2 linked regions of the Macaca mulatta genome follow. The protein of the gene in region 1 purifies or fractionates together with the protein of each later gene. This does not show direct contact. Links are inferred from orthologs where the notes say so. Each region holds a gene or a part of one and is shown in the gene's direction. Other genes may lie near its edges.

Region 1 (4,398 bases):
CTCAAAAGAAGACATACATACAGTCAACAGACACATGAAAAAATGCTCATCATCACTGGCCATCAGAGAAATGCAAATCAAAACCACAATGAGATACCATCTCACACCAGTTAGAATGGCGATCATTCAAAAGTCAGGAAACAACAGGTGCTGGAGAGGATGTGGAGAAATAGGAACACTTTTACACTGTTGGTGGGATTGTAAACTAGTTCAACCATTGTGGAAGACAGCATGGCAATTCCTCAAGGATCTAGAACTAGAGGTACCATATGACCCAGCCATCCCATTACTGGGTATATACCCAAAGGATCATAAATCATGCTGCTATAAAGACACATGCACACGTATGTTTATTGTGGCACTATTCACAATAGCAAAGACTTGGAATCAACTCAACTGTCCATCAGTGACAGACTGGATTAAGAAAATGTGGCACATATACACCATGGAATACTATGCAGCCATAAAAAAGGACGAGTTTGTGTCCTTTGTAGGGACATGGATGCAGCTGGAAACCATCATTCTTAGCAAACTATCACAAGAACAGAAAACCAAACACCGCATGTTCTCACTCATAGGTGGGAACTGAACAATGAGATCACTTGGACTCGGGAAGGGGAACATCACACACCGGGGCCTATCATGGGGAGGGGGAGGGGGGAGGGATTGCATTGGGAGTTATACCTGATGTAAATGACGAGTTGATGGGTGCTGACGAGTTGATGGTTGCAGCACACAAACATGGCACAAGTATACATATGTAACAAACCTGCACGTTATGCACATGTACCCTAGAACTCAAAGTAAAATAATAATAAAAAAAGAAATAAGATAAAAAATAAAATAAAATAAAATTGATAAATGTAAAAAAAAAGAAAGAAAGAAAGAAAAAACATAAAACAGAAGAAGAAAAGAAAAATTAGACTTTTAAAAATTTAGTTTTCTTCTGGCTTTTTGTTAGCTTTATATTTAAGTATTTTTCTGATATAATTAGAGTGGAATTGTTTTTCTAATTTTATTTTCAGATTACTCAGTGAGTATACACAATTGCAATTGAATTTTATATGTTGGTTTTGTATCTTTTCACCTTGCTGACCTCACTTATTTGTTCTAGTAGATTTTAGGAAATTCCTTACAGACTTTTACATATAAGTTTATGAAAGATGCAGTAAAGGACTTTATCTTCTTTCCCCCCCCCCCCAAAAAAAAGATTTGTGCACTTAGTTCAGAAAAAAGTAAACAAAAAATTGACACAGTTAGAAATTAGGATTTTCAGTTCAGGAGAAAAAGTTCTCACCACGCCTCTAGAGGAAGGGGAAGTCTCAGTAAAAAGTATTTTCAGTTTATGACAGAAAAGCAAAACGTTGACTGCCTCAAGGTCTCAAGCACCAGTCTTCACCACGGAAAGCATGCTGTGGCTGTTCCAGTCGCTCCTGTTTGTCTTCTGCTTTGGCCCAGGTAAATGTCAATGCAGACCGGTGTAGTCACTGAGTGACTTCCTGGTTTTGTGGCGCTTGCTCAACCTAAATCGTCTGTATACAATTGTCTGTCTGGTTCTCTGCCAAGGGATTGGGGTGGGAAAGGGGACACTCACAGTGTTACCTGATATACTACTACCTCCTCTCAACTTTGGATGCAATAAGCCTGAGATGGTTGTCGGTGAACAATTTCAACTGTGTCTGCATGTAAGAAAGTTATTTGCTGGGGCAGAGGAAATAAGTTTTTGCAAGACAAGACTGTTTCTGGTTTATGACCAACATCTTGTGTTATAAAGAGTACCAAGATCAAGAAAATGAGCCCTCATACCAATTTAGCTACTATCATACTGTGAACCTCAGGGAGGTTACTTATCCTTCCTGAACCTCACTATCCTCAGCTGAAATATTAAAAACCTATTATTCAGCTGAGCCAAATTTTCTGAGCCCAATCGAACACACTAAAAATAATCCTCTCACCTTTTGCTCGTTGCGGGGAAAAAAAAAAAAAAAAGGTTTCCATCTCTCCCCTCCTTTAGTGCAAATAAGGACTAGCTAGTCCAGCAATACATGGCATTGAGAAAAGCACAGTAATATGACATTGCTTTTCTCACAGCAATATGGCAGTGAGAAAAGAATGAACTGATCCAACTGGCTTCTTGTTCCCTCCTGTCCATTATATGGAGAAGATGAAGATTCGTATCATATTTGGGGAACTACAAAGGGTCCAAGGGAGACAAAGTGTAGCATTCAGGCAGAGATAGGCCAGGAGATAACGGAAACCTAGCCCAGAGCTAGCCCAGGGCAGCGGATGAAAGTAGGAAGCATTCACTGAGTGCTTATTGTATTTCAAGTATTGTTCCAGGTGCTGTACACACATTATGAGTCTCATGAGAATTCTATGAATTTATACTATTATTATCTCCATTTTAAAATAAAGAACTGAGGTGAAGTTCACTTAAATAATTTGCCCAAATTTCATTAGCCAGCATGCGGCAAGCTCTTGTAATAGTTCTGAGAAACAATGACAGTTGAATGAGTGTGGCAGCAGCATAAAAGAAAGAAGGGACCGAAGCAAGAGATCCCATCAATATAGAGTTAAGTAAATTAATTGGCAATTGGAATGAGGGGACAGGAATAAATATTCATCAAGCGCCTACTGAATGCTTGGCACTGTTCTAATTTGCATGAATACATCATGAACGAAGCAAGCAAAAATTCTAGCTCTCATAGAGTTAACATTTTAGCAGGAGACAAACCGTAAAAAAAAGATAAGTAAAATAGTGTATTCGGTAGTGATAAGGCATAAATAAATCAAGTAGGAAAGGAAGAGATGAAATATGGTAAAGAGGGCAGTGAAATTTCAAACAGGATAAGCAAAGAAAGTGACAAAATTGGAAGGTGGACCGCAGCCACAGGAGGAAGGCGAGTTCAATTTTGGACCTACTGATTTTAGGATGTCAGTGTTCTATCCATGAGGAAGTTATGTGAAAGTTCCTGGGAACTTAGGACTAGGGGTAGGGCTGAGGCTAGAGACTTAAAAAATCAATGGCATAGAGATATGTTACATTGAGGAGAAAACTGGAATGAGTACAGAACTTTGGGAAATACATATAAAATGCAGAGAGAGAGAATTCTTTCTTTCATTCAAGAGCCACTTCCTGACCTGGGAGCAGAATCTTGAGTTTTTGCTTCATTTTTACCTCCCTGCAAAATTAATTCCACCTCTAGAATAAAATATTCTAAATGTCCTCATGTTAAAACTCCTCTTCTTCTCCCTATTTCCATGAATACTTCTTATAATGACCCTGTGAAATTTACAGTGCTCCAATCTCCACTTCACAGATGGGGAAAGAAGGCACAGAACACTTAAGTAACTTGCTCACTGCCCCACACTTCTAGGGGAAATGGGTATAGAAAGAGAAACACATTTGAATGAGTTTTCAGGAGGCAGATGCAGGTGTTCTGAGACCCAGAAGGAGAGAAGTGGCTGCTAGAATTGGAAATCAGGAAGCCTGGCTCTGGAGTCTGTGCTTATAACAACTTCACTGCACTACTTAGCTTACACGCAGTCATATATTCACACAAATGCATACATAATTAGAAAATGTGAGGCTAGCAAAAAATAAATAAATAAACAAGCAGGGGACCTTGATAGAGAAAAACACGGGGACCTGCTTTGGACGGAGTGATGAAGAAAGGACTTTCTGGAAAAGTAACATCTCATCTGATATTTAAAGGGTGTGAAAAGTTAAACAGGAAAAGTCAAATGAAGAAGCTTTTAAGGCAGAGGGAATCAAGTGTACAAAAGCTCTGATGCAGGAAAGAGCCTGGAGTGATTTAGGAAGGGAAAGAAGACCACTGTTGCAAAAGCGTGGGGCAAATGAAATCAATGTTGGAAACAACCATGAAAAACAATGACTCACACCAGCCTACATTTTTTCAAGTGGGTTGGGCAGTATCCTGACTCCTTTTAGAAAATTTAGCTGAAGAGACAAACCATATTGAGAAATAATCCCATTTCCTTTAACTCAAGCCCTGGGTGGCAAAACTAACAGAACAAAACAATAATTATAGCTAAAATCAAGCATCATGACATCCTAGAGAAAATAAATCTCGTTCGTTTCTTCATTTCAATTTTTATAGATGGAAAATTGTCAAACTTAAATGTGCATATAAATTACTTGGGAGAATCTTACTAAAATGCTGATTCTGGAATAGGGAATGAGATTCTGCATTTCTAACAGGCTCGCAGGTGACACCAATGCTGCCTAACCATGGACCACACTGAGCAGCAAGGTTCTAAATTCCACTGGACTTCAGTCACACTGGGATTGCAGGGAGGAAGAAATAGGAACTAACTTTGAGTGTGTTTGCAGGAAGCAGACATAGGTATTCTGATGTCCAGGAGAGAGCGGTGGTT
Region 2 (4,554 bases), on another chromosome or scaffold:
TGAAAATGACTAGTAGGAGACTTATGTTTATACTTTGCATACTAAGGCTGGACACTCTTCAATCAAGAAGAAAAATTGTTACCAGCTACCACTGAAATCTTGGAGGATTGTTCTTAACCCTAGTAGATGAAGAGCAAATATCTGCCTTTGGTGCAGGTCAGCTCTGTACATCCAATCCATTGGTAAGCCACGTGAGGAATTAAGTGTCGTTCTCCCTGTTGAGCTTCCAGGCTTGCCATATTCTCCAAGAACTACACACTGAAGTTGCAGAAAGCATATAATAGACGACATAGCTTCAGCTATTTAAGTTCCAATTTTAAAAGTACTTTACATAATCTAAAGGTACATGTATAAGACCATTCAGCTTCAGCAATAAATAAAGTCTTACTCTAGTGAAAATGCAGGAAGTTTTGGGGAAATATTACCTAGCACATTTTGAAATAGAAGCAATGCTTTATTTCAGAGAAGAAAATGCAGATTGAAAGGTTTTAAAATATTAAAGACAGTTTAGCATCAATTGAAGAAATAACATTTTCTAGAAACAACAGAGAATAAAAGTTACAATAATATTATCAACAACTTGCAAATGATTCAAAACAGATTTTATGGCCAAAATGCTGAAAGTTGGGCCCTATACACCAAAGGGCACATACAAATGCATATAAAGGCAAAGCACCAGTTAAATGATTCACAGTCTCATGTAAAGCCCATCAAATAGATAAATCTGGAAAATCTTTGGATGTACATTGTGACTTTTGTATCTCAACTAGCACTTTGGGACCTTGGACAAGGTGTTAGGAAAGAAATCAATATTTACTCAGGACCAAGACTTTCAAGATGACTGCGTGAGGTAGAAGGAAGAGGGAGAAGAAGAACTTGCCCAAAGTTCACTGTTAATCTACTATGTCCGATTCTGTGGGAGTCTTCATGGCCATGTTCAGTAATGATTGCATACTGACAGTACTGATAAAACCATCAGTGTTTTGTTCTCAGAGCTTTTGATCCTTTCATTTTGTTAGTATGTTTTTGCCCTACATGATGGGTCCACATACCGACAGAGACATGTACAACTTGCCTCTATCATCAACTCCTTACCGGCTAGTTGAGCTAAGTTATTCCTGGTGGCCTCTGAGTAAACTGCAAGAACAGAAGCATTACTAAGCATCCCTGTCTGAGTGCAAGGGTGTGTGTTGGCAGTACAGCCCCAATCTTGCAAAATCCTTCTTCCAATGTTCCTTCCCGCTCTGTATGAACCCTGTGTTGGGGGGCAGGAGATGGAAGCCCTTGGCAAGCTCGATTGAACTAAGCTACTAAATTGCTGAGCTCGTTTTAGTTGAAGTGTGAGAAGGAGGTTTAAGGCAAGTAGACAACATCCTGTTGTTTGGGTGCTTCTCTCTTTTTTGCACATCTGGCTGAACTGGGAGTCAGGTGGTTGACTTGTGCCTGGCTGCAGTAGCAGTGGCATCTCCCTTGTACAGTTCTCCTCCTCGGCCTGCCCAAGAGTCCACCAGGTCATGGACGCAGTGGCTGTGTATCATGGCAAAATCAGCAGGGAAACAGGCGAGAAGCTCCTGCTTGCCACTGGGCTGGATGGCAGCTATTTGCTGAGGGACAGCGAGAGCGTGCCAGGAGTGTACTGCCTGTGTGTGCTGTGAGTATGATACAGTGGGCATGGGCCTGCTGAGGGTGTGGGCGGTGGGCAGCGGCAGCTGGGGCCAGGGTGGAGGCCGAGGCAGGCAGGGGCGCCGGCATTAGCAGCTCGCCGACGACGCCTCCATGGTCCGCCCTCAAGTCCAGCCCAGGGCCGTGGTGAAACACACTTTCGCCTGAGTCCCTCGCTGGGGATTTCATTCCCTGGGCCACCTGCTCTCCAGAAGGCCCTCACCAGAGCCTTTTGGGGCAGCCGCAGAGAATACCCTTTCGGGTGCTGAAATGTGGTCTAGAGTTTACCTTCGCTCCAGGAAAGACCCAGGCTCCCCACTTCTATTTTGAACCCTATCGGGTGGTGCCCTGGGAGCCTTACTCTAGCTCTCTTTAAACGACTTTTGAAGTGTCATCCCAAAGGAAGGGCATGACATTCAGGGAGAGGAGACACATTAAGAAACAGAGTCAATTACTTTAAGAATGCAATGCCAGTAAAGTCGAGATGCTGAGAGAGGAGGGGGATGTGTATGAGTAAAATCACCTCTCTGGATCTGCTGATGTAGCATCCTTTAGAAAAGTAGTGGGGGGTGGGGAGGGGCAGGGGATTTCAGAAATAGGACCCTTCTTGATAAACGTTAGGACTCACAATAGTCTTAAAGGGAATGGAGGGAAAACACCCTTGTTATGATTCAGCTTTGCCATTTGCCTAGGCATGTCTCAGTCTAAGGCTTCATTTTGAATCAAATTCATCTGCGTCTTTGCTCCAGGGCTCCGGAGTCAGGCAGATCTGAGACTTTCTCCTGTGCTAGTCAGATGTTAGGCTTGTGACCTGGGCAAATTAACCTCTCAGTCCCCCAGTTTTCTTATCCATTGAATAGGTATCATATTACTGCCTACCTCATAGGATTGTAAGATTAAGTGCTATAATGCAGTAAAAAAATTAGCACTGGGGCCTGACACCTAGTAAATGTTCAATAAATGTAAGCTATTGGTATTGTCATTATACCAAAAATATATTGTTATTTTATCTTCTCTTTTCAGTTGATTTCTTTTAGGAATCATGGGGGCATTTCTAAGGAAGGACCTAGCTCAAGCATTATTGTCAGCAGGATAAAAAAAATCCATGAAAACAGCAGCCCTGCATAGTAGGTTCTAGACAGAAACCAAATGAGGTTAAATGCTTGGTAGTAAGTTCAGCATCTGATGATACCCCACAAGAGTTTGAAATACCTTATGGGTCAGTGAAGAAAGATTATCCTGATGCTGGTGCTAGAGGATTTTCACTGTATATTGGTTTTCAAAAATGGTCAAGCCTTGTTTGTGGCAGCTCTCAGGTCATGCTAAATACATTTTTCATAAAGGCTTCCAGGGAAATACGTGGAAGTTATTGAATGTCTTGGGCTTGAATCTTTATGTTTTGCTTATATAATTATGTTCCCGTGTGGAACCTAGGGAAGGGCAATGAAAATCAGCTAGGATTCTTAGGCTCTTTTCTCATTGAGAGAAGGTGGAGTGAGTGGGTGGGTGAAAGGCGCTGCTTTAGGGAAACTGACAAAGGAGATAATGTGCTCCTTAACCCAAAGGTGAAAAAGAACATACAAAACAAGTCTGGGCAGGGGAGGGACAACAGGGTATAGTGAGAGGCAAGATACACCTAAGACTTCAGCCTCACCAGGCTCCTGGCCGTTTCTCAAGCTCCTCAAAAATGCCCCCACTTAGGATTTCTGTGCTTATTGTTCCTTCTGCCAAAAATACCTTCAGTTCACATGTTTGTTCAACTGCCTCCTCCCTCAGAGAGGACTTGCTTGGCCACCTATCTAGAACAAGTGCCCTCTCTCTGTCCCTGATACACTCACTCCATCTCTTTATTTTTGTTCAAAGAGCTTTAAACTATTTGATAATTTGCCTGTTTACCTACTTATTGCTGGGCTGTCCTGCAAAAATATAATCTCCATGAGGACGGAGACATTGTCTCCATCACCAGGAACACAGGAACACATAATAGGCACTCAGCAGATATTTTTGAATTAACAAACTGTTAAGGCAAATTCTATTCTTTACTGCAAGAAAAGGAATGAACATCGAGAGGTTAGGGTGTGGACCCTGGGAAAGTCACTCAAATTCTCTGGGCCTCAGTTTCCATATTTATAAAACAGGAATAGTAATGTGTATCCTACCTTCTGCAAAAGATTGCCTTAAGTACCATATACAAGAGAGAAGGACAACTTTAGCCTTTTTCCTATGTGGGCCAGAACCACATGAGGAATTAACTTAGGCAGGTGAGAAATTCTCAAGCATTTAAGTTTTTGCCCAAAGTGAATCTTGCATAAATGCTTTTTTTATGACTCTCAGTTCTCCATGAAAACTGCCTTGTGAAGTAGCGGAAAATACTAGACAAATTGGGAGTTCCCTTACGGTGTCTTTCAAATGGTACACTGGGGACTCAAAGTCTTATGAGACTGTTTGGGTGATAGCCAGAATGTACTGCAGAGGGAAGATATAAGGATACATTGCCTTTTATCAGTTTCTCAACGTTTTTGAGTTGAGTGTCCCTTTTGACAAATGTAAAAAATTCATTCCCTCTTTTTGGTGCTACACTGTAATTATAAAATCAAATTTTATTTAGAAATAAACCATGTACTCATTTTAAACCAAAACACTTATGCTTATGATATGTAGTCGAAATAACAATATAAATGGTGTCACGTACACATGGACAACAAGGTATAGCTGACAAACATGCATTGAATGTAGGGTTTACTCAGAATGGTTTCTCATTCTATCTTTTGTTTACTCCTATTAACCAAGAAGATTTAATTGAGCTATAGTTTTTATATTTTTATTGTAGAGATAATACATTTCATATGCCTTTCAAACTGTACTTTAAACTGTACTTTCAAACGATGCTTG

Evidence for each region.
Region 2: the proteins of SLAMF6 (region 1) and SH2D1A purify together in Homo sapiens (co-immunoprecipitation; 5 studies listed by BioGRID and IntAct, with this or other methods). This does not show direct contact. The link is inferred for Macaca mulatta from reciprocal best matches to the Homo sapiens genes SLAMF6 and SH2D1A.

Annotation. Positions count from the first base shown.
Region 1 is NC_133406.1:106,357,071-106,361,468, forward strand, and holds the start of SLAMF6 (SLAM family member 6), read left to right. Parts: upstream 1-1,321; 5' UTR 1,322-1,409; coding exon 1,410-1,458; intron 1,459-4,222; exon of another isoform or gene 4,223-4,398. UniProt on the Homo sapiens protein: Self-ligand receptor of the signaling lymphocytic activation molecule (SLAM) family.
Region 2 is NC_133426.1:130,790,671-130,795,224, forward strand, and holds the start of SH2D1A (SH2 domain-containing protein 1A), read left to right. Parts: upstream 1-1,514; coding exon 1,515-1,651; intron 1,652-4,554.